7 linked regions of the Solanum lycopersicum genome follow. The protein of the gene in region 4 binds, or shares a complex with, the protein of the main gene of each other region. Links are inferred from orthologs where the notes say so. Each region holds a gene or a part of one and is shown on either strand. Other genes may lie near its edges. The genes, in order: ORR; photosynthetic NDH subunit of lumenal location 1, chloroplastic; NAD(P)H-quinone oxidoreductase subunit O, chloroplastic; photosynthetic NDH subunit of lumenal location 2, chloroplastic; photosynthetic NDH subunit of subcomplex B 5, chloroplastic; NAD(P)H-quinone oxidoreductase subunit N, chloroplastic; NAD(P)H-quinone oxidoreductase subunit S, chloroplastic.

What was found.
Region 1: photosynthetic NDH subunit of lumenal location 2, chloroplastic (region 4) and ORR share a complex: the UniProt entries of both Arabidopsis thaliana proteins name them as parts of the chloroplast NDH complex. The link is inferred for Solanum lycopersicum from reciprocal best matches to the Arabidopsis thaliana genes PnsL2 and NdhM.
Region 2: photosynthetic NDH subunit of lumenal location 2, chloroplastic (region 4) and photosynthetic NDH subunit of lumenal location 1, chloroplastic share a complex: the UniProt entries of both Arabidopsis thaliana proteins name them as parts of the chloroplast NDH complex. The link is inferred for Solanum lycopersicum from reciprocal best matches to the Arabidopsis thaliana genes PnsL2 and PnsL1.
Region 3: photosynthetic NDH subunit of lumenal location 2, chloroplastic (region 4) and NAD(P)H-quinone oxidoreductase subunit O, chloroplastic share a complex: the UniProt entries of both Arabidopsis thaliana proteins name them as parts of the chloroplast NDH complex. The link is inferred for Solanum lycopersicum from reciprocal best matches to the Arabidopsis thaliana genes PnsL2 and NdhO.
Region 5: photosynthetic NDH subunit of lumenal location 2, chloroplastic (region 4) and photosynthetic NDH subunit of subcomplex B 5, chloroplastic share a complex: the UniProt entries of both Arabidopsis thaliana proteins name them as parts of the chloroplast NDH complex. The link is inferred for Solanum lycopersicum from reciprocal best matches to the Arabidopsis thaliana genes PnsL2 and PnsB5.
Region 6: photosynthetic NDH subunit of lumenal location 2, chloroplastic (region 4) and NAD(P)H-quinone oxidoreductase subunit N, chloroplastic share a complex: the UniProt entries of both Arabidopsis thaliana proteins name them as parts of the chloroplast NDH complex. The link is inferred for Solanum lycopersicum from reciprocal best matches to the Arabidopsis thaliana genes PnsL2 and NdhN.
Region 7: photosynthetic NDH subunit of lumenal location 2, chloroplastic (region 4) and NAD(P)H-quinone oxidoreductase subunit S, chloroplastic share a complex: the UniProt entries of both Arabidopsis thaliana proteins name them as parts of the chloroplast NDH complex. The link is inferred for Solanum lycopersicum from reciprocal best matches to the Arabidopsis thaliana genes PnsL2 and NdhS.

Annotation. Positions count from the first base shown.
Region 1 is NC_090803.1:56,432,396-56,435,214, forward strand, and holds ORR (NAD(P)H-quinone oxidoreductase subunit M, chloroplastic), read right to left. Parts: upstream 1,518-2,819; 5' UTR 1,408-1,517; coding exon 955-1,407; intron 844-954; coding exon 661-843; 3' UTR 501-660; downstream 1-500. Other genes in the region: uncharacterized protein At1g21580, read right to left, coding at 2,191-2,664. UniProt on the Arabidopsis thaliana protein: NDH shuttles electrons from NAD(P)H:plastoquinone, via FMN and iron-sulfur (Fe-S) centers, to quinones in the photosynthetic chain and possibly in a chloroplast respiratory chain.
Region 2 is NC_090809.1:53,936,876-53,940,230, reverse strand, and holds photosynthetic NDH subunit of lumenal location 1, chloroplastic, read right to left. Parts: upstream 2,056-3,355; 5' UTR 1,909-2,055; coding exon 1,782-1,908; intron 1,704-1,781; exon of another isoform or gene 1,690-1,703; coding exon 1,603-1,689; intron 1,535-1,602; coding exon 1,461-1,534; intron 1,381-1,460; coding exon 1,258-1,380; intron 1,139-1,257; coding exon 1,067-1,138; intron 981-1,066; coding exon 884-980; intron 811-883; coding exon 707-810; 3' UTR 501-706; downstream 1-500. UniProt on the Arabidopsis thaliana protein: NDH shuttles electrons from NAD(P)H:plastoquinone, via FMN and iron-sulfur (Fe-S) centers, to quinones in the photosynthetic chain and possibly in a chloroplast respiratory chain.
Region 3 is NC_090810.1:1,415,295-1,418,762, forward strand, and holds NAD(P)H-quinone oxidoreductase subunit O, chloroplastic, read right to left. Parts: upstream 2,227-3,468; 5' UTR 2,130-2,226; coding exon 1,901-2,129; intron 1,837-1,900; coding exon 1,760-1,836; coding exon of another isoform or gene 1,728-1,759; intron 1,526-1,727; coding exon 1,460-1,525; intron 1,356-1,459; coding exon 1,314-1,355; intron 1,204-1,313; coding exon 1,144-1,203; intron 777-1,143; coding exon 747-776; 3' UTR 501-746; downstream 1-500. Other genes in the region: uncharacterized protein, read left to right, coding at 1-60. UniProt on the Arabidopsis thaliana protein: NDH shuttles electrons from NAD(P)H:plastoquinone, via FMN and iron-sulfur (Fe-S) centers, to quinones in the photosynthetic chain and possibly in a chloroplast respiratory chain.
Region 4 is NC_090804.1:2,507,848-2,511,679, reverse strand, and holds photosynthetic NDH subunit of lumenal location 2, chloroplastic, read right to left. Parts: upstream 2,506-3,832; 5' UTR 2,465-2,505; coding exon 1,982-2,464; intron 1,892-1,981; coding exon 1,793-1,891; 3' UTR 1,773-1,792; exon of another isoform or gene 1,678-1,772; intron 1,578-1,677; exon of another isoform or gene 1,439-1,577; coding exon of another isoform or gene 1,223-1,438; intron 1,130-1,222; coding exon of another isoform or gene 1,006-1,129; intron 915-1,005; coding exon of another isoform or gene 697-914; 3' UTR 501-696; downstream 1-500. Other genes in the region: casparian strip membrane protein 2, read left to right, coding at 697-914, 1,006-1,129, 1,223-1,438. UniProt on the Arabidopsis thaliana protein: NDH shuttles electrons from NAD(P)H:plastoquinone, via FMN and iron-sulfur (Fe-S) centers, to quinones in the photosynthetic chain and possibly in a chloroplast respiratory chain.
Region 5 is NC_090808.1:66,330,462-66,334,624, reverse strand, and holds photosynthetic NDH subunit of subcomplex B 5, chloroplastic, read right to left. Parts: upstream 2,706-4,163; 5' UTR 2,613-2,705; coding exon 2,379-2,612; intron 2,041-2,378; coding exon 1,977-2,040; intron 1,697-1,976; coding exon 1,634-1,696; intron 1,138-1,633; coding exon 1,079-1,137; intron 973-1,078; coding exon 742-972; 3' UTR 501-741; downstream 1-500. UniProt on the Arabidopsis thaliana protein: NDH shuttles electrons from NAD(P)H:plastoquinone, via FMN and iron-sulfur (Fe-S) centers, to quinones in the photosynthetic chain and possibly in a chloroplast respiratory chain.
Region 6 is NC_090808.1:66,282,384-66,286,477, reverse strand, and holds the start of NAD(P)H-quinone oxidoreductase subunit N, chloroplastic, read right to left. Parts: upstream 2,801-4,094; 5' UTR 2,531-2,800; coding exon 2,392-2,530; intron 901-2,391; coding exon 536-900; intron 444-535; coding exon 327-443; intron 233-326; coding exon 147-232; intron 1-146. UniProt on the Arabidopsis thaliana protein: NDH shuttles electrons from NAD(P)H:plastoquinone, via FMN and iron-sulfur (Fe-S) centers, to quinones in the photosynthetic chain and possibly in a chloroplast respiratory chain.
Region 7 is NC_090807.1:67,427,465-67,430,034, forward strand, and holds NAD(P)H-quinone oxidoreductase subunit S, chloroplastic, read right to left. Parts: upstream 1,378-2,570; coding exon 625-1,377; 3' UTR 501-624; downstream 1-500. UniProt on the Arabidopsis thaliana protein: NDH shuttles electrons from NAD(P)H:plastoquinone, via FMN and iron-sulfur (Fe-S) centers, to quinones in the photosynthetic chain and possibly in a chloroplast respiratory chain.

The sequences.
Region 1 (2,819 bases), on a different chromosome or scaffold from region 4:
TATAAATAGAGGGATTTTCTCTCCTTTTAAAAGAACGAAAATTCTGTCTCTCTTCTTCTTCTTTTTCACAATTAAATATTTGTGTACATTGCTCCGGTTAGTGACTCACTGCCACCATTGTTTATGTTACAGATTCTAGTATATATTTTTACAATCATTAATTTATACTTATGTTATTAAGATTAAATTATAAGATGTAATAATTTTCATTTTTTTTTACATTATCAATAGTTGTTCTTACATAATCTTGTATGTAAGATAATATAGTGTGTTAGTTTTAAAGTCTAGTAAGTTTTACATATTATTTTAAAATTTTTGTGGAAAAAAACGAATAATTTTATAATAAAGTAGGTTGAATATAGATGAGGTAAGCTTAAATATATGGAGTGGTGTAGATATAGGAAATCTCAAACAAATTTGAAGCTATTGCAATTTTGATTGGGGGTATTGATACAATGCTTAGATGATTAGGAATATGAAAACCACAGTATAAAATACCCTTTTGCCACCAATGATTAGGTAGATAACATTTGTATTGTGTATAATCCATTTGGGAAAAGTTCTCAAAACAGACAGAGAAGGTGAAAGTTTCTTATACATTGTTACAACTGCATTTTTTGCTACTCATTGTTTCAATATAGTCAACATTGTTACCTGAATTTACTGGTTTACATCTTCCATTTGTCCATTGTAATTGAACCCAACTCTTGGTTTCCCCATACTGAAGTTAAGAACTCTTGCATTCATGTTGTATTGGATTTCTCCATTATAGAGAAGTTTTCTTATGTAGTGCTCTATGTCTGAACCTATCAGGCGAAGCGTGTACTCCGTCAATGGAGCTCCCTGGTCCAGATCATAAAAAGTTATTGGAGTTAGCATTTCTATTTCTAATCCATTTGGTACAAGAGTGATTGCATGATTAAGCTTGTATTGATGAAGAGAAGTTTTCATTACCTCATAATGATCAACAAGTTCTTGGAAGTAAGAATAGACTTTGGTACAAGTATCATCAGTCCACACAAATTCATCAGTAGGGTCAAGAAGGAGTGTGAGTTTATCCATTTGTGTTTGATCGAAAGCAAAGGTTTCGGGATCAATATAAGCTGCATATATTCGAACATGTCTAGTAGCACTACTGAGCCATTGTCCTCCATGTTCTCTGGTCATGTTCTTGCTCTGCACATTTATTTGTGGTTCTACTGGCCTTGGCTTCTTCATTGCCCCCTCTTCTTGTTTTTCTTCTTCTTTCTTTTCTTCCTCTTTTTTTAGTTTTAACTCTTCAACTTCTGCTTGCTGTGCTGAAACTGAGAAGAAGTTTCTCCTTTTGAGTTGTTTATTCTTTCCCTTTGTGCTCCAACTTAACATGCTGAAATGGGTTGAAGCCATGTATGTTGAAGTTGCTGCCATGTTTCCCCCTTTCTCCTAGTGTTTTGTTATGTGTGATTTTTATGGCCTTTTCTTGAATGTTGGTATTGGGATATTAATATATCCTCCTTTTTGTGTGGATAGGAAATGTTTGCTTACATATGGCTTCTTTTTATTATCTTATATTTTTTTTGTTCTGTGGCTGTGCTTAATAAAAGGTTAATTACAAATTACTCACTTTGAGGTACTTAAATTACTTTCGTTTTTATCCCTGTTAAACCAGGTTTAAAGGTTTGGTTAATTAGTGAATCCGAGCCATGAAAGATAAGTATGCAGGGCGTTTCACTTATATAGACAAAACCAAAAAATTTAAGTTCAGAAGTTCGTATGGTGGTGGATCTATTAAAAACAATCTTTTTTATCCGTGTATTCATCACTACAAAAAAAGAATGCTTACCTGTCAAAAGTAAAATAAACATAACACCAGCTGATTGAATCTACAGGTTCATTATCACCTGTGATAAAGACTCAATAAGAGAGTTCAGATTGACTTGAAAATTGTTAAAGAACAAAAGTCAAACAGCTTCCAATAAAGACTTGTACATAGGGGATAAGATTTTCATTTCCTTTAATTCTCTCACTATAACAACAGTTTTCTTGTTCTATCTCACACAACAGATTTTGCGAAACAAAAAATATGCCTAATCCTAAGACCTATACCTAAGTAATTAACTAAAAGCCTAACAATAAAAAGAAAAAAAATTGCTCTGCACTAGCAGAACACTACATAAACCTAATTACACAACCTCATTTACAATGGTGAGGCTACTCTGATACATAGCTTGTGGTCATATCACTTGGGCTATCTATATAGGGAGATGAACCTACAGACCTATTCCTATTTATCAGACGCACGGGCTTAATAAGCTCATCGAGATCATCCAGTTGCATCTCTGCTGGACCACTCTCGCAAAGTGGCTTTTCCTCGCTTCTCTGATCAATAGTCTGTTCCTCTTCGTCACTACCATCTAGGCTAATAAAATCGACAAACTTCCCTTCAAGGAATATGTCATTATTCCCCTTGACAGAAGGCTTCTCTGATCCAGCTGTTATGCACTCAGAAATATGAATGTGCGGAGAGCCAAAGTAACGACCTCGACCATTCTTTAACTCGCTCAAAGCTTTCCTTTTCGCTCCCTTCCTTCTGTTCTTCGGATGGTGAAGCTTGCAGTTTGAACCTTTGGGACAGTTGCCAGTTGCTTCAAAAACGGGGCAGACATAGGTGTGTTTCTTCTGACACTGCATGTTTAGAAATATGACCCATTTCACAAGTTTCAAGATTAGAGTGTTGTGTGTTTGTGATGATCTACATCTATTGTAAAGAACATATTAAAATAATACTGAAATAGTTGCATTCAGAGAAAGAGGTGACATAATAGGTAAAAATACTTGGC
Region 2 (3,355 bases), on a different chromosome or scaffold from region 4:
TTTCATCATATTTTATAGGCATAATACATATATTGGACCCTAAACTTGACTTCAAATTTTGACTTTGACCTCCAACTTTAATAGTGCACAAATAGACACTTAAACTATCATACCATTAAATAAATAAACACACGATTTTTGGAGACAAAGAGAGTGAAATGCAAATGCTCCCACGTATATTAGTGAGCCACTCAATGACTGCCAACTAATTAAATATTTTATGCGTCCATTTTAGAATTTAAAAAAAATTTAAATGAATTTTGATTTGGAAATATAAAAAAATATATAAAAGGGATTCATTAATGGTGGAGTTGTTATTTCAGCATTTTTTTACCATTGTGGACCTCAAAAATTACTACTCCTAACTCGCACAAAATACATGCACATTACATGTTTGCCAGGTACGACTCGCGTGTTTATTTATTAAAGGGTTAGATAATTGAAGTGTTTGTTTGTTTACTATGAACGTTGGAGGTCAAAGTTAAAATTTGAAACCAAGATTAGATATGTATCATGCCGTACTTTATTTGTGCTTTATTTTCCATCACTTTAAAATTTGTCGTTAACACTTCACCGCTTCAACTACAAGGGGATTTCAGTTACTTATGGGATAGCCAGAAACATTCTTTGTACTGTAATTCAATAAACAAATTGCAAATCCTGTTTCATGGAACAAGACTCTATCATTGCAGCTCTTAGAACAATTCTAAATGTCCAACACCTGAAATGAATCAGCCACCACTTTAAGTTTGTTGCGGAATTTTCTCCATCGCCTTTCATTCGCTCCCACGATTAATGTGTAGTATCTCCCTGTACGAAATGTCTTAATACGAATGCAGAAAAATGTAATGTACAGTTAAAGGAAACAAACCAGATCACTTACCATTTGCAATTGCTATAGTAGCAAATGCTGCCCGCGAAAAATTTGGAGATGTCAATACATATTCAAAGGTGAAATAGTTTTTCCCATCCGTAGTTCTCTACATAATTTTGAACAAAAATATGGTGACTAATTGAAAAAGAGCTACGTATATTGTACAATCAAGAGAATAAGAAAGGATCATACCTCCTTCATTTCCATTATATTTGCCACCTGATTCGGTGCAGAGTAAACATGTTTTACCAGATCGGGCACAACCTTTAGGAAAGTAGAAATAAGTTGGTATGACGAAGAAAATACATGTCTTTTTTATATTTTTCTCCTCCTTGATAGCTTAATAAAAAACGGCTACATAGATGAATAGTACCGCGATTTACCTCTTGCATTGGCCCCAAATCATGGATATCTGTTTTATCAGTTGGTATAAAACTAAGTCTTACATTTTGCAGTTGTAGATACCTATCTTTAAATGCAGAATCATGACCTCTGAAATCGAATTCCTGTACATACATCCAAAGTCAAAATGAGAGTTTACTAATTTCTAAAAATTCATTTCTTAAAAAAAAAAGAAGCAACATACCCTCCAATCTGATGGATAGTAATACGAATAACCATCTCGTTTGTCAACAAAGATTTCATAGTTCTCCGGTACTCCTGCATACACGTCATTTAATTATAAAAAGTAAAAAGTTTAGAGAATAAAAATTATAGTAACAGAGTACCTTGAGCTAGAAGGGGAGTCGCGGGTAATAATAAACCCAACGAAAGAGCCCCTGCTCCTAATAGATATGACCTTCTCATCAAGCATCCTGAAACAGAGATACTAGTAGAATTTTACCACGGAGAAAATGGCGTAAATGCAAACATGACTTCATAATTGATCGATATGAAATTTTCTTACTCTGTTGATTAGGGGACGTGTTTTCTGATGCCGAACATGTAATAATGTTGTGTAAGCCATGCCTATTCAAATTGTTGGCTGCTGGTGATGGAAGCCCAAGATTCAATGAGAGTGAAGTAGCTGCCATTTTTGTGGACAAAAATCACTAGATTTTTGCTTAACATGTTTATTTTTTCTCCTAATACAATCACTTTTTTTTCCATCATTTTTTCTTGCTCAATAGGATAAGATGCAAATTAAATGTGAGGATGACCTTTCCTGCCAAGGTCCAAATGGGCTTTTATGTCTCTTTCAACTACAACTAAATGAGCTGTGCTTCATATGTGGGGCTAAAATTTGACTATATCCACATTGATAATTTTTACTAATTGTTCTTGCAAATTTTTCACAAGTTTACCATGTCATAAATATCTGTATGTAACAACAGCACAAACTTGAATCCTTGATGGATGAGGCGGATCTAATGTATTGATACCGAGTTTATCTGAACTCAGTACTTTTAATGCGAAATATAAATTTATGTGTAAAAATTCATCAAAATTGCAATAGATAGTAAATGTAAACTTATAACTTAAAAATTAATGGGTTGATCAATGCTAAAAACCTTAACAATTGACTTCGAAGAATTTAAGATAATGATACTTTAACAACTCGACCATATGAAATGTGATATCAAATGCACCCATGTTGATGTGGAAAAACCAAGCACAGGTTCTTTCAATCACTGTATAGCACAAGCTATTTGAAAGGAAATCCAACTGGCGATGCATCAATGATCAATTTACATCCTAGCGTGGAGGTATTCATCAACTGTGTAAATGCAACGCCAAATATAATTGAAGAATGATCAAAGGGTACCAGGGGTGGAGTACGCCATGTTAATGTACCTTGGATGATCCAAATCTCAGTGTATGCGTCTAAAGTTTCAATCCTGAAATACAATATACAGGAAAGGAAAAATAGCAAGCAAACAATAATATTTGTATTTGAATTAATACTAAGGTTACAATCTTTATAAAATATCTCAAAAAGATATTTAATCCCCTGATTCTTCTCTTCACAGATGTTATTGATTTGGCGGAATACTTGCGGCTCAACCCTTGGAGCGAAGACTTCTTTATATGCTGAAAAGCAATTATGTATTCCTGTGTATATGTATTTTTTTTTGTCCTTTTGGTCAGAAGAATACCTCTTTATATAGGCTTGAGTTAGGGCTTTAGGGTATTTTGGTCTGAGCAATTTTGATCCCTGGGCCTGAAGAACATGAGTTGGGCTCATCTTGTCAACTTAATGGAATGATCCAAATGATTTGGACTTGATTTAAGTCATACAATTTTGGCTTAGATATTAATTAGACTTTATCAACCAGTAATTTGACTTGGTCAACATATGGTGATTTAAGATTTAATCCAAATGTAATATGGATTTATCAATAAAACTTCAGTGTTTACAAATGCCCCTACTTTGAGGCTTGTTGAGGTGCTTGATTTGTCGAACTTGTAAAGACAAGCCTTGAAGTATTTGTGAAGCAAATGTTTTTTTTATCGTAGTTGATCTTTCACGAGACATTTGAA
Region 3 (3,468 bases), on a different chromosome or scaffold from region 4:
CCCCTTGCTTCGTTGACAGAGCTTATGAATGCTACTAAGCGTGCTAGGAGAAGGCTGTAAGTTCTGATTTTTCCTGGCATCATTTCTTCATTAATTTCTTCATTTCATTCTCCACCCTCATCGCTTTCAGATATTGATACCAAGTACAGCATTGTTTACAGAAAAAAATACAGATAACTTATACTCCATACCACCTGTTCTTCACCTTCCCTTTTTACAGGCTGCTGTACACTGAGACTTTCCAGTTACCTGCCTACTGTATATTGTGTGTACACTATAATTTTATGAAAAAATTAATGGTACATTGAGACGTACATTTCGATATTCATTTATAAACCGACTCCATTCTATTCAATATGGAAGGTATTTTGTGTTTAACTGATATCATATTTCAGTTCTATCCTTCCCAGACCCCACTTGTGGGATTACATTGGGTATGTTGCTGTTTATTTATATTTCAGTTGATCTAGAACGTCTCTTGATTGTTACTGGAAGCTGTCTTTTACCTACTGAATAGTCCAGGATTGTTATATTAAGCTTCTTAAGAATCAATTTAACGATTATTTAGTGTCAACTGAGAAGCTGATTGAGTGATCTTTAAGGAATAATAATATATTTAGCAATAAGTAAATTCTGGAGGTGTGTCCATCTCATCTCTCTTCATCTCTGATGAGCAGCGGTCAATCTGATGCTCCACTTTGATTTACTCGTCTGGCATGTACTGGTCTGTAACTGTGGACTCGCCACTATATTCTCTCGTAATCCAGCTTATCAGACTGCAAAATTTGTTATTGGTTAGGGAATGTGTGATTACGCAACAGACCACTTGCTTTTTAGCAAGGTGGAAACTGTATCATCAAATAAAGATACGATACTTGGGAGGATTGCTTAAGTTCATATAAGCAAACCACCAGTCCATTCCGGATACTTGGGAGGATTGCTTAAGTTCATATAAGCAACCCACCGGTCCATTCCCCAAACCTCCGTGCAGTTAATTGCTATGAGTTTGTCCAAAATAATTTTCACCAGAGATTCTCATTTGAAGTGCAAGGAGGTTTTTTTAATAGTGTACCATAAAAGGTACTCATGAAATGATGCAAATTGCTGCTTTAGTATTTTGAATGATTTCAAAAGGCTAATTACCTTAATTAGCATCTCTGTTGGAAGCCAAGCTGGTGCAGTTGGTATTCCGATCCATCCAATCTGCAGCATAGGTAAACTCTCAACTTTGATCTCTTTATATATTCAGTGAAATTTATGTTTCGAGGTGTGTTTTGATATAATAAATTGAATTTCGAAAAAAATATACTTACAAGTGCATATTCTCCTGTCTCGAATATACGAATATCCAATACCTAAACAGATATATGATTAGTTTATTTTATAAATAACATGTTGTTCCAAATTGTATTTTGTTATCCCTTTTGACATGATCTATAGAGAAATAAGAAAATGGTACCTCACCACGGTCTTCATATATGTAGTCCAGACCTTTGTAATAAGGTGGATGATCAACAGACAAATACTGAAGAAATTTATACAAAAATATACAGTCAAATTCCAGTGCAAGGGTGTCCACAACTTCCAATTCAGATTATTATCATCATTCATAAGCATGTAGAGGATACAATGCTGATTGGTAAAAAATTATAGTATATATATCTTTATTAAAGAAGTCCCACTAAATAGGTCTGAGAAGGTAGAGTGTACATAAACCTTATCATTACCTCGTGAAGTAGCAAAAAAAAACAAAACTCACATTGATGCTATTCAGATACTTCTCCTTTTCCACCCTGACTATCTGACCTTTCTTCACTGCCAACCAAAACAAAAAAGCTAAACTTCTATAAACAAAAAATTAGTGAAATTTGAGACATTTTCATGAAATAGTACTACTCACTAGAATAAACCGGTTTTTTAGGCTTTGTTGCGGTGGCTGTTGTACTAGAAGAAGTTGTTGTTGCTGCTGCTGCTTGAGATTTTGGCTTCTCATTATTTTCTTGTGGTTCAGATGAACTATTTTCTGCTTTAATAACAAAAGGGCTATAATTAATCCTATTTTTTCTTGTTTGTGAAAAAGATGATGAATATATGAAGGAGGTGTGTGAAAATGCAGCAGAGAAAGCCATCTCTATAGTTTTTTTTTTTTTTTTTTGGAGATATAACTAGTTTAGTTGTGGCCAATATAAGTAGATAAGGGCATGCCCTTTTTCCCCCTTCTTCAACGGCCAGATTTGAATAACAAAAATTAGTCTGCTAATAAATGGGATTACTCTATTCTCGGTTAAGGATTTCGAGTTTGAATACTGAATTTCGATGTCATTTTTGTTGAAAATTACTGTGGACGTCCGTTAGAACTTTTATCTATGGAGCCAATTGGTTGTCACGGTCAAAACGACCATTTTAAAGGTCAAACCATCTTTTTAGTGATCCAGAATTTTAACGTTATTTGCCGAAAATTAACATAGTTAAAACCTTATCTATGGGGCATATTGGCCACTACAGCTAAAAAGGACCCATTTTCAAGGTTAAACGAGTTTAGAGTAGGTAAACCCCCAATTTTGTCGAGTGTTCTGTGCTATAGTCTATGAAATTTTTGGTGAATAAGAACTCTGACGTCATATTTTCTGAATTAACATGGATGATTGTTAAGATCTTATCAATGGAGTCAGTTAGTCACCACGATCAAAACACCCCATTTTGAAGGTCAAACGATCCAGAGCAGGTAAACCCTCATTTTTTTCAATTTTTGTTTACAAGTAGGTAAAAAACAGATTTTATCGATTTTCGTATGACATAACCCATAAATTATTTTTACCCAAAAATTCAAAACAAAATGGTCGAATTTTTTCATGGACGTCCTTTAAAAACTTAGAAATAAAACTAGCTCGTCTCGTGGAGAAAAATGATGCATTTTTAAGTTCAAACGTGCCCAAAGCAGGCAAAGACATATTTTACCAATTTTTATGTGTTATATCACATGATTTTCTTTTTGATTCGGGAATATAAAAAAATGGCCAAATTCTTTTGACATCCGTTAAAACCATATAAATTGAACCAGTTCGTCCCGCAGGGAAAAATCGTGCATTTTCAAGTTCAACTGAACCCCAGAGCAAGAAATTTGATAAAATTTGTCTTTGTCTGCTTTGGAATTTGTTTAAACTTGAAAATGTGTCTTTTTTCCCCGCAGGACGAAGTGGTTCCATTTTAAGGTCTTAATGGTCGTCTATTAAATATGCGGTCATTTTGTTTTAGGATTTATGGATAAAAAATATTATGGGCTATAACACACTAAAATCGATAAAAACTACCTTTGCCTTCTTAGGGGCTCGTTTGAATTATAAAATACATCATTTTTCCCCGCGGGATGAACTCGTTTCATTCCTTAGCTCTTTACGGACGCCATGAAAAATTTTGGCCATATTGTTTGGAAATTTTTGGATTTAAAAAAATTCATGGGCTATGCAC
Region 4 (3,832 bases):
CATAAACTTGTTCTTTATTTTATTTCTCATTGTTAATCAAAAAGTCAACCTATTCATTATTTTACTTTCTAGTATTCTAATTTCTCATGTTTGATTCTTATGTTCAAGTAGAACTTTGTGCCTAATCCAAAAAACCATTTAGGACCATAACCATTGTTATTAGTATATTATCAATTGACCTAATATAATAAATCAATGATCATAAAGTGTGTTTGCAAAACATTAAAAAAGAAAAAAAAGATAGGACAAAGAATGTTGAAGTTTTTATCGGGAACAACCTCTCAATTCCATAAAGTTAAAAGTGACGTATGCATACATACTACCCTTCTCAAATGGATTGCAACGTGTCGTGTGCTGTTTTAATATCGCGATTTCTCGTATATAATGATACATTTTCTCGAGAAAAAATACATTTTCAAAATACATGTTAGGAAGAAAGTAGAGCAGGTAAAAAGTGTAGCAAGTTAATGCAAGACTTAACTACTTTATGGAATATCATGAACCAGAAAGTTGTACATTTCATTGATTAAATAAGCAAAAGCAACAACTAATTATGTGTCATCAAAACCTAATACTATTTGTAACTCTGTTACATGATTTGGTTCACTTGTTAGTATAAATTCGCATCACACTTGACATACAAATCATAACAACAAAATTTCATTCTAGTTTCAAAGTTTGAGCTAAAAGGAAAAAATGAAGGCAGTATCAATTGAAACTGGAGAGGGATCAAAGGCCAAAAGAGTTCATGGAGTGAACAGAGGAATCTCTGTATTTGATCTTGTTTTACGTATCGTTGCACTTGTTGGAACCTTAGCAAGTGCTGTGGCAATGGGTACTGCAGATCAAGCACTTCCATTCAGTACACAGATTGTAAATTTTGAAGCTCAGTATGATGATATCGACTCGTTCAAGTAAGCAAAACTGCAAACATATTATTACATGAAATAGAACAGTATAAAGGTTAACTAACACATTTTTTTGTTTTGCTTATTCTGATTGAAGGTTCTTCGTGGTTTCGAATTCTATAGTTTGTGTATATCTTGCACTTTCTATCACTATTTCAATCTTTCACATTATCAGAAGTAGAGCAGGAAAGAGCAGAGTTTTGCTCATTGTTCTAGACGCGGTAATACATTAGATTTCTGCTAAAGTTTTCATATTTAGTACTTTGTTATGATGTTGTACTGATATCTTTTATACTTTGCGAAAACTTTTGAAGATAATGCTGGTTTTCCTCACATCTGGAGCATCAGCAGCAGCCGCGATTGTGTATTTGGCACACAATGGCAACACTTCAACTAACTGGTTTTCGATATGCCAACAGTATACAGATTTCTGTCAACGTTCTGCTGGATCCCTTATCGGTTCTTTTGGTGCAATGGCCTTGATGGTTATACTTATAATTTTGTCATCTATCGCTTTATCAAGGCGCTGAAGATGTTGGCTACACTAGCAATTGCTAGCCTTTGTGTGTGTATTGTGTTTGTAAATGTTAGTTTCATCAGTTGCATTTCATTGTATCAAGATTTTCATCAGTTGTATCACATAATGAAAAGATTTCCTCCTTACTTCAATGTTTTCATCTTCAAATATCACGTTTATTCAACTAATAGTTATTCTCTCATAAACTCGTATGTAATCTTGATTCCAATTTCATCAACTCGCAGACCAAGCTTATAAATGAACATAAAATTGTATATAATTTCAACGTTTTTCGATCAGTTTATTTGTTAAACCAACGCGATTTTTCTGCTACAACATTCACTCACCTTTGAGCCTGATGATATTATTATGCAAGTAATCCCACCAATTCATCAATTGATTTCAACGTCTTCTCATAGAATACACGAGATTCATATACCTTTGGTGTTCGAATGTAGTAATCAAACTGCAGACGAAGAAAATACATAGAAATATCCATAACACTGAATAGAACCTCGAAAAATTCTGAACAGGGAAAATAAGGACAGTTAGTTACCTCAGCCATGTTATCAGTAAGCTCATTGACAGTTTTAATATAAGACTCTTTTCGACTTTCAGGCACCCTGGATAAGGCATTCTTCACGTCCTGTTTAAGATAAGCTGATTTAAGTCGTATATAAAACAATACATACCTCCATGAGTTAGTCTCCAACATCTCTTTAATACTATGTAGTCCATCTGCTGTTTGACGAATTCGTGCTACTGCATCTTCAGGGGACAATCCAGGCTCAAAGAAATGTTCTCTTAAGAATGATCGAACGCCCCAATTTTCAGCTAATGCTAAAGGGGTGAATTGTAGGCCTAGTGTCAATGGAGTGACTAGAAAAGTCGCGATGAGTTTGCGTCTACATGAGAAGTTTTGTTCATTAGTTGATAAGTTAGATTGGATTTTGGGTAGTGTCTTGCATTGTGTGTGATGAGTTTTGGTTATTTTGGTTTTTGGATGGAACAAAGTTGTAGGATTTGTGAAAGTGGTCATTTTTGTGTTGAAAAAAAAAATCTAAGGAGTGTTTGATGGTTTTTGTGTGTGTTTTGGATGGATATTAATTGATTTCCCTAAATCCAAAATGGACCTTAGGTTTTGGTGACTTGGCAAATATTTTATCCTCTTTTTTTCCCAATAAATTTTGGTGTTGTTGGGTCAATGGTGTAAGAGGCTTTGTTCTAGTTGGCCCAATTTTGGAATTTGTTTAACTTAGGGTTGGCCTTGTTCAATTTGAAACTAGTTTTACTTGGTTCGCATTTTTTCGGAATCAATCAAGACTGAACACTAGTAGCCCTATTTCATTGACGGGTTGGGATCAATCTTCTATCAATCGAACAAATTTCTTATGTTTTTCCCTTGAGGCATTCAATTCTCGTATCAAAACAAATTTGAGTTCAACATTGAGATTAGACACTAAAAACCATTTAAATTATGCTGAATTTTTCAACTATACACTCCTGAAATAAGTTATCACCGTCATAGAGCAGAGTAATGGTATCAGGATTAGTTATCCCAAAATAAAATAATGAAACTGACAGAAACACCCTTGAAGTCTATGATGTTATTTTTCTACACTACAACAAAAATAATTTTTGGCGGCATTAAATATTGACATTGATAAAGAGTGCGAAAGTCTTTACCGGCATTAGTTAAGTATCATTAGAACCAATGTTGCTAAATATTTTATGGACATATACAAAGAGTGTCAATTGCCGCTAAAAATACATATTTAACGACAATTAATGATTATTTTTGTTATAATGACTGGAGAGTATTTTTGTGAACAAATTATATCTTCTTTAAAATTATGAAATACATGTTATTTAGTTTTTGATATAACAAATCAAATCATCAATAAATTATCTTCATAAATAAAGAGATATAAAGCAATTTAGGCAAAAATAATACATTATTGATTGTGCATGAATAATTGCTTTACAGCTAAAATATCTAATGTCTCTAGCTCCCACATAGTTGGACTAATAATAATTGCTTTACAAATTAAAGCAACACCTTTAATTTACAAAAAATAATAGATGAGAAATGAATGGATTGGGATGATAAAATTATATAAACGAATTATAACTTAACTGAAAAAAAGAAATAATTAGAATTCTTTTGTAATCCCTATTAGTATAAGGGTCGTTAATAGTTTGTTTGATTAAATATTTTAAATACAAAAAATACTTGATCAAACTTTAAGCGAAAAAATAAGTACTTATAAATTAGTAATAATGCTACTCGTTGAATTATGACATGCGTAAAAATACATCTTGAAAATATTAGTGAAATATAAATTACTAATAAAAATACTTTTCAATAATTTAGTTAAACACAAACTGAATCAAAGTACTTTTTTCA
Region 5 (4,163 bases), on a different chromosome or scaffold from region 4:
TGATATTTTTCATTTTTCAGAGTCAAATAGTTTAAGTATGATCGAAAATTTGCACGTACAATCTTTAATATTTTTCAAAATTTAAATTTATATATTTGTAAACTACGTTAAAAGTAATATAAGTCGTAATAATTGACAATTCAAAATAATTAAAAGATATATATAAAAATTTACGATCAAAGATAGACTTGTTTGAATCTCGAAATTCAAAAAGTGTCGCTTAAATTGGAACGGAAGTAGTACATAGAGCTAATTCAGTAGGTATATTTACACATACAACAAGCAATATCAGAACATTCATAAAAAATATTAGAAAAAAAAGCCAAATCATGTTAGTTATCACTCATCATTCAATCAAACTTTTCAACTCTTAAGTTCCTTCTTAATGTAACTTTAAACATCCTATGTACTTTGATTTATACAACTCTCATCGCAGTAGCGCAATCAGAATTTTTATTAAGGAAATTCAAAATATAAAGAATTGATAAAGGGATTTGACATATACTAATAAGAAATATATAACTTTGACCTTATATATACAGTGTAATTCTTCAGCTAGGGAGTTCATTAGAGTTTTTTTTTCATCTCAATGTAGTTAAGAAACATATAGTACAACCATGGAACAACACCAGATCATATGCATCTTCGAGTAATCGATGAAATCCAATGATCATTACGCGATTCATTTAGATACCTTAATGATATATTCAGAACATATGAATTCGTTGTTCTTTTTTATTTCTATCGTTTCATGATATCGTCCTTCTTAACAGTAAAATCCCATAAATCACCATATTTTTCGTTGAATTCCCAAATGTCCATTGTGTTATAATCCGATATTAACTTATCTCGCGCACCTCTCTCCATGTTATATATTTGAGGCTCGAAATTGTGTGCTTCACTTGGTTTGTCCATCTCAATGATACAGAACACAATTGTAAACACAGCTGCTCCAATGTACAAATACTCCCCCTGCATTGTCAAAGAAGTGAAAATACAAGACTTTTAGTTGCTGGAAACGGGTGTTTTCGAGCCTCGAAAAATGTGTAATATAGTAGAGATTTAGTCATTAACTTACAGGAACATTGAAGTACATTCCTGCAACTATTGCTGGAGGAAACAGCCATGAAATGATACCTATTGTCGAACACCAGAAAAATAAGTTATTTTAAGTAAATAACTAAAGAAGCACTCAAGGGTGTGCCCTAGTGGTCAATGAACTGGTTAAGAGTCACGAGGTCTCATCACGTTCAATTCTCAGCGAGAGAAGAAAAATTCTAGGTGATCCTTTCATTTGTCTTATCCACTGTGGATGAATAGAGTTTTTTTTTTCCACCCGATGTCCGGAGCTTACATTGGAATTACGACTAAATTCGAATCGCACATTGCAGGTCCTATATTTGAGGGTGACGCTCCCAACATGATTTTCTCAATAGATCATATCCAATACTCAAACCCGAGACCTGTGGTTAAGAGTGAAACACTCCCACCAGTGAACCACAATCGGTGTTGGTAGATGGATAGAGTTAGCTGATACTTGTTGCTGATGGAAAGTATTTCGTGAAATTAGTCAAAGTGCGAAAAGTAAATGACTAAGTTAATGATCATATTATTATGGTAATTTGTTACATACCTTGAAATCCTGTTGGGGGTGCAATAGCAGCATAATCTTCTGCTATGGATCCCCAAAATGATACTGAAAATGCAAGTGATATAGAATTAAGTATAGTTTAAGTATAAATACATTTACCTATTTTTGTAAAAATAGCTACTCAAATATTGTGTTTTTCGAAGAATTTGAACACGTGGAGTTCACCAATTTCACGTTGGACAAATATGAAACGATTTATTAAACGAAAAGTCGAACGAAGACTAACTTGATCGAATTCATATAATAATACATTGGACAAATTTAGATATTTTTCAATTCAAATTACAAATTAAATCGAAAAAAACACACACATATTGTTATGTACCTTTTTTATCTTCACTTTCAAAGTACGTATGATGATCATCGTATTTTCCAAAAACATAATCTTCCTGCAACAAATTAAAATAAAATAAAATTAGTTAACATGCGTCTGCCTTAAAATAAATCCGTCAAAATTTCAATAAAAAAAAAATTATTACATAAATATATAAATATGCCCTTCAATTTTGTTTCAGTTACATCTATATCCTCTTATTTTCGATGTACACAAATAGAGACTTATATAAAATTGAAAAAATAGATACATTTGTCAGTTAAAAAAAGCCAAGTTAAAAGGACATTTTGTATTATATCAAAATTATTCGATATCTATGTTGATGAAAGATATTAAACTTACTCAAACACTACAATTATTTAAAAACAACGAAGAAAAGAAAAGAAACATTACAATGTCAATGCCATTAGTTCTCCATCGATCAACAGGATCTTCGTTGATATCTGGTTCTATCTCTGTTAGTCCTGCATACAATCTTGTTGATGATCTAAATCCACCACATTTTGTACCAATTTTCGAGGAAATCGAACATGGATTTCCTCGAAAAAGAACACTCCATTTTGTTGAGAATACTGAATTGGGAACTGGAATTGTGGAGAGTAGTGAAAGTGTTAAAGAATTCTCCATTGTTGTTGAGTAGTGTTGCTCTGTTCTTGCTTGTTTACTCTATGTTTTCTAACTTTATTATCCATATATTTTGAATGGTTAAGGCTATACGTGGATAAGGCTATTATATATTATGGTTTTATATTTTTTTTTTAATATCTATTTAGTCTCTTATTGTGTTACCACAATTTCCGACCCCTTTTAACTTGATTTCATCTGACATCTATGTCTTTCAACTTTGATTGTAGATAAATCAACACTTAAATTTATATAACATTGAACAAACATAAACAGACGTACTACGTGATATAATGCACGTAGGACATTATATAGGATGCAAATTGTCACGTACGATGTCACATAGGATGTGTCTACTTGTTTAATTATATACATATTTATATGTCTGCTTGTAATTGTACATATCCAGAATTGGAGAACGTAAATGTCTATTTAAATGAGATTATTCAAAATGCTTTAAACAAAATAAATTAGCCTCTCTTAGCCATAAACCAGATTTTTTTTTTGCTTACCATTATAAAAATTATTTTAAAACTATTTTAAAAAAATATTTTCACCAATATTTCAAAATTTTAAATTTTTTTCCAACTTATGACAAAAATAAGGGAGAAAAAAGGAGGAAAATATCGACGACATTCATACAGAAATAATTATTTCAATAGGAAACTATTTAATTATAAGTAAGTTTAGGTTTAGCAAACATAAAAAATCATATTTGTATACTATAACTATAGTTTGTATAATTGCGGCCCATACCAAATTTTATACTTGCTATGGTACATTAAATCATTGGCAGCCTCTCGTTTGTATAAATCGTTGACAACCTCTAAATTCAATTTTATGTGTTTGTATATCTGCATAAAATTTGAATTTGTATACAATGTATCGAAATAAAACATTTGTATATCAAATCGCTCTCTCTCTCGAGTTATATAACACAAAGTATACATTGTAATTTGTGTTTATATAAAGCGAGAAAGAGAGAATGACAAAAGAGAACTTGTAGAGGAAATCTGTATTTGTATAATTATAAGTGTATATGACGAAATTATATGTATGTGTACATATAATTTTCTCCCGCTTTATACAAATACAAACACAATTTATTCATTTGCCTTTTGTATAAAGTGAGTGAGACGAGGGAGAGTGACGAGCAAGACCTGGGAGAGTGGCAAGCGAAATTCGTCGGGGAGAGAGGTGAATGACAATTGTTTGCTACGAGTTACAATTAAATCAAAGTATGATTATAACATTAATTTGAATTAATAATTTGATATTTTATATAATTTTTCCTTTAATTATTAAGCAACTGTACGTATACTGTATCTTTCTTTTATGTATATCCAAAATTCAATACAAAAGAACGACAATAATATTTTCATCTATCTAATCCATCTACCATGATATTAATACAAATTAAACGAATATGACCATGTAAATTCATTTCAAGTTTGAATCAAAGATCATAGATATAATAAGACTGTGTAGCTATAGTTTCAATAATTGCGCTTCATAATTATAATTTCATTTGCTATGGAGGTTGCGTTTATATAT
Region 6 (4,094 bases), on a different chromosome or scaffold from region 4:
GACCACAGAAGGCTAAACTGAAGTAAATCCAGGTAGCTTTTGCATACAATGTTGTTTTAACCACAACGACAAGATCTCAAAGTTTCCTTATTTACAAGAGAGTTGATTGATAAACAAGAAAAAGGAAGATGAAAGGAAAATCTTACCAGTTACCACACTCTGCAATGACCCTCACATTAGGACGAAGTGTCGGGAGTAAAGCAAGAAACTGCAGCTCTGCCTTTGATAAGACCTGAACATTTTAGGTCAAACAGTTAACAAAGATCTAGTCAAAATACTGCTGATGGACTAATTAGATGATGTACACTTGAAGGGGTGGATTTAACCTTGGCTTCTATTATCCAAACCACTAATCCTTTAGCATCCGGAGGAAGTAAAGAAAGCCTATAATCAACTTCTGGAGGAAAATACCATCTAGCTATTGGTTGCTTACCAACATGAGCCTGCAACATCAAAATTTGCAGATGAGAGTCAATTAGACACTGCAAGTTAGTGTTTGAGAATAAGCATATCGTATGCGAACTGCTAAACTTACAGGGCAGACAGGGTGGAATTTGGTAAGAGTGGTTTCAGGGTCACCGAGGCCACGAGCCGAAAGGTCCAAGAAATGATATCCCTGGTACTTAAGACGTGTAAGGTAGCGTCCTTCATAGCCCCCTTCATGAGGAGAGTAAATTGCTATGGCTTTGTGTTCTTCCACATCTGATAACCATTGACCCAAATCAGGTTTAATGAGATCTCCACCTATGAAGTCCTGAAGTTCAATGTTACATCTAATTGCTCCTTTCTTTTGTCTTCCAACTGAATCAAGTCTTCTCGTTCTCACAGCCTTTGATATGCCATTTAATTGTACTCGTTGCTTCTGCAGACCATAAGACTGCACTGCCCCTTGATAACAGGCTGCATTTTGCCATTTTAATTCAGATTTCATGGTACATGACCGAAAGAACAAAGGCATCATAATGAAAAACATTGAACGTTAAGACATCACTCTCAAAATTTAATTAATGCGAACAGGATAACAGTATCATTTTGGTGCTGCAAGTGTGCATTTCCACATGTAAAAGGTAGAAAAAGTTATAAATAAGTCATTTTCCAAAGAGAACTGATAAGATTATGTTACAGGGAGAACTGAAAGGGTGCCTACTGTAAGCAACCTGTGAAACTCGAGAACCAGAAGTCAGTTTTTACCATTGTCAACAATGGCTAGAAACATTGCCAATGCACTGCTTAATGTGACAGTGCATAACAGTAAGCACAAACATTTTCAGCTTTATAGACCAATATTAGGGAAAGTCTGGATTTCATACCATGTAAAACAATAACAATCGGGAACAAATGTGAGTTGGAGCTGAATCTCTACTCACCCAAAAAACAAAACTTCAAAACATAATTAAGTAAATGTACACTTTCACTACCTACCCCACTAATATTTACATATAACAAGCTGGAATCACCCATTATGATATCAAGTCTTGATCTTTTTAGTTCTTTAACCATCACCCTAATTTTGTAACAACACATAATAGCAACTAAGCATACGTCTTCACACACACGCACACCGTGATATTGAACTATAAATCTGAAAATTGGGAACAAATGCGAGTAGAAGCTGAATCTCTACACACCCAAACCATAGCTTAAAAACAGAATTAAGTAAAGTGTACATATCACTCCCTACTCAACTAAATATTCACATTTAACAAGATTGAATAGTCCATTAAGTTAAGTCTTGATCTTTTCAGTTCTTTAACCATCCCCCTAATATCAAGATATTATAACAACACATAATAGCAACTAAACGTTATACATCTTCACACACACACACACACACACCATGATATTGAACCATAAAGCTGAAAATTGGGAACAAATGTGAGTTGAAGCTGAATTTGTACACAACTTCAAAACATTATTAAGTAAAATGCATACTTCCACTCCCTACATAACTTAATATTTACATTTAACAAGCTTGAATCAACCATTAAGTTATCAAGTCCGTAAAGATATTGTCATCCGGACCTAACTCAATCGCAAAACCATACACCCTCCTTCACGCTTAGGCCCCTTGAGAGCGAGAACCAAAAGCTCACACCGGGAATGAACCTGGTACTCATACCATGTAAAATTAAGTTTTAGGCCTATCTAAACTACCTCAAAGGTAGGAGGTGCTCAAGCCTTAACCACCAATATGAACCCCTTTTTTTTAAAAAAAAATAAAAATTAACACCCCACCTCACACAGATGCAATATTATTACAAAGTCTTGATCTTTTCACTTTTTTAGTGATCACCCTAATATCAAGATATTGTAACAACCCATAATATCAATTAAGCATTATAAATCTTCACACTGCGCACACACACAGAGAAAGGGGTTATTGGGGATGACCTGAAGAGGAACAGGGTTGGTCTTCAGTGGAAATATTGGGGCGCCGCCGGCAAGAAGACCCATTGCTAGTAATCAAGAACCTCCTAGTGCTGCTGCTGCTGCTGGTGGTGCTAGGGAAGGTGTAGGAGAGAGTTGTCATTTGGGTATTTTGGTGGCAGTGTGTGAGTGGTGGCAGTAGGCAGCTATAGCAACAGAGACTGTGGAAGGACCATTGCAAACTTGGACAAAGATGACTACTTTGTTCCTTGCCACTCAATAAATGTGCTGATAAACTTTACAATAAAGAAATTACAAATAACAAATATTTAAATATGCATAATAATATTAGCTATATAAATTTATGGGATAAGTTCTATATTTTAAAAATTGAAATGATGTTTTGGGGAGAATTTAAAATTTGAGATAACATAATCTCAAATTAGTTATTCAAATTTTAATTTTATATTGTATATTCAAACATAGCTAGAATAATAATCATAAGGTGAGAGTTCAAACTCTATTGTAACTTTTTTAATGAAATAATTTTGTGATTTAGAAAAGAACAAAAGCCAAACTTAAACCTAATTTATATATTTTGGATTGAAAATCCAAAATCCAAGTAAAGATTATGAAATTTCCAAACATCCTATTTAATTGCATAAGTTGTCCTTCAAATAAATTAATTTTTATTCTTTTATATTTTGAATTTTTAAAATAAAACAAAGTTAAGTATTCATTGTAAAATTCATAAGGAGTAAGAACGTTCACCACAGATAAAATATGAATTGTGATACGACCATTAACATCTAAAAAAGACAATGTTTCACAATAATTACTAGTAAAACTTTTGAAACACATAACAGAACTCCAAAAATAATTGGAGCACATATATCTCCTTCCTTTAACTAGAACACGTACTATGGTGCTTTGATTCCTGCATCATATTTTGAAAATAAATTTATACCTTATAAGACATAAGTTGTTTAAGATAACAAAATATAACCAACACTCAATATATAATGATTTTAAAATATAAATTACCAGTGAAAATATTATTTATATAGTATTAAAACATAAAAACTAAAACCAGCTCTGTTGTAAGAGGGAAAATAAAAAAGACAAACTTTAGGGCTTTTTATATAGTAATCTCCCTATCGAAACCTCAAAGATTTCCCATTTCTGCAAAACCCAAATGGAATCCAAAGAGGACGAAGCCTCCCAAAGCGGAGCAAACCCATGGAAATTCAGTCCATTTCAAGCAAAGATTTAGTTTTGTTAAGGCTTCCGGTGAAATCCCTTTTACAATTCAGGTCTGTGTCGAAATCTTGGCTTTCCTTAATCTCTATCCCTAAATTTGTGAAGACGCATCTCTTATTTTGTGCTAGTAACAAGGAGTTATGTTTAAGGTTGCTATTTATGTTGGCTAGTTATGTGTAGTGATTTACATCGCCATTCTGTAAAGGAGGTAATTGACTTGGATTATCCAGGTAAAATTTCCAAAGACTATCCTTGGCTGGTGGGTTCGGTAAACAGATTGATTTGTGTTGCCTATGTAACAAATTGCATGACTTGTTTATATGGAATCCGTCAATTAGAAAGTATAGCAAGTTGCCTAGTTATAGACTTAATCGATGTGGTGGATATCAAGTGGAGGAACCTGGGGATAGCAGATTTGGTTTTGCGTTGATGTGCTTCAAGATGATTACAACGTAGTGGGAGTTTGC
Region 7 (2,570 bases), on a different chromosome or scaffold from region 4:
TTATAAAATTTTGGTCCATCTGTTTGAGAATCTGTCAAAATCTTGCAGTTTGCACCATTGTATACTCTCTCTCAGGCTAGCTATCATTATTGAACTTATCTACATCGATATCGACCTGTTGTCCAATTGGATGGAGTCTAAGATCCACCATATGTGGTGTCAGAGGTACCTCATGCTTGTGAAAAGTAAGAATTGTTTTATCACTCACTGTTAAATACTGTATGTTGTTGTTCTGCTAGACTCTCTCTTTGCTCGATAAAACGTGTGATATTTCAGATCCTCATTACTGATGGTATCTAATGATCTATGAATTGATCAGAAGAACATGCTAGGATTCATTACTTAAACAAAACTAGATCTTGTGCAATCATATTAAATATTTGACTATATGTTTTGCAAGTGGTTTGAATTACCTGATTCTTATTTTTTACGTTGTTTTTGTTAAGAGTTCTTTCGAACATCACTGCTAAGAGTTGAACTTCTCATTTGGGACAGAACTCTTCCTGCACAAAAGTTTTTCTGCATTTCTTATTACATGCCATTGCCATTACAAAACTTACAGCTTGTATGTACAACAACCCAAAAGACAAAAGAACAAACAATCTACTCAAAAACTGAAGCAATTCAAGCTTCAGAGCTCTTTTCTACCATCTTCTCAAGTATCACAGACTTAAGATTCACCATTGGCGGTCCTTTCTCTCTACGTTCGAGTTCTTCGAGCCTGAAAGATATCAACCTATCCCAGTTCCCACCTTCAAAAAGCACAGCAGCCTTACCATCAGTAATCCTCTGCACAATCCCACAATACATATAATATGGATTATTAGAATTCTTGACAATAGCAATCATCCCAGGTAACAAAAGTGGCAATTCAGGTGGCTTTGGTTTCTTCACAAGACTTTGATTAAAACCAGAAACCATACTTGATTCTGTTTTCTTGGGTGGTGGTGGTGGTGGATTTTTCTCTATAAATTTCATTAGACCCTTCTCACCTCCCGGAAATCCGCCAGTAAACCCCATCATTTCTTTCTCAAATCCGTCCTCCGGTATCTCCCCAGTCTCCTTGTTTTCTTGATTATCATCATCACTAGCTGCTGCTGCTGCTGATCCTACTGCCTTTTGTTCTTCGGAAATCGACTTTTTTAGCTCTTTCTCTATACCCTCTTCTCCATTACACAGACCTCTACCTCCAAGAATCTCATAAAGATTGAATTTTGCTATTGGTGTAACTGAGTTTGAAGATGATTTCATAGCTGATTTGGTATGAACACTACTACTGAGGTTGAGATTGACAGATTGACCAAGAAAGTTTGATTTTTTAAGAGGTGGGGTTTGAATTTGAAGGCTTGAGAGTTGAAAGGAAGAAGCAGAAGCCATGGTTTTGATTTTTTTTCAAGAACTTTGGATTTGGGAAAGATGATGGTAGAGGATGAGATGAGAAGTAGAAATGGGAAACTGTAATTTGTCCTTTCAAATTCTGACCACCAATCTGTTTTTGTTTTGATATCTTCTATTGACAAATGAAACACATGAATGATGTTATCTTCCTTGGAAAAAGATTAAACTTGCACTCATGTTTTACACCATCCTTTCAAAAAGAATCAGGACCACACGTGAGGAATTGCGTTAAAAGTAAATTATAATTTTTATATTCATTTATGAAATTACACGAGATATATTATGTTTTTCTTTAATAATTTAAGATTTTTTTAAAAAATGATCATATGATTTAACTTGATGATCAGAGTATATAGAGGTATTAGATTCGCGCTATGTTGCTATTTGTTATCAAAAGGAATTTCTAAAAGTCAGGACCACACATGTGAAAGGGGTCTTGTAGAAGATATAGTTGATTAAATAAGAGGGCGTTTGAATTGATTTAAAAGTCAGTTATTTTTATTTTTGGAAGTGTTCGATAAATATAAAAAATAACTTAGAGTAAGTAAAAAATGGCTTAAAATAAGTCAGAAAGTGTTTGACAAAGTTAAAAATAACTTTAAAATGACTTAAAATAAGTTTAAAATCAAAAGTAGGTCTTCCTCTGCCTTTTATTTTTTAACTTATAAATCATTTAAGTTTGACATTTTATTTTTGATTTAAAAGTTACTTTTTAAGTTCATCTAAATAGCCTCTAAAGTTGTTTTTTTAAAGACGTAATTTTTCACAAATTGCAAACATAAAAATCATATTTGTATGTTGTAAATATAGTTTGCATAATTGCGTTCCATAATAAATTTTATGTTTGCTATGGAGTTTTTGATTTGTATAATTCGCTAGATACATCCAATTTTATTCAGATTGTTCAGTTTTGTATAAATTCATTTATAAATTGTAATTTGTATAATAAGATCTAGATTTATATAATCATAAGTATATAGAACGAATATATATATATATATATGTGTGTGTATGTATGTATGTATGTATGTATGTATTTGTATATAATCTTTTCTCTCGTTTCATACAAACACAAACACATTTTATACATTCTATATCGAAATATATAAAATGTCTAATTATATATCGGAAATGACTAATTGTATAGCGAATCAGATTACAAAAGAATGGAA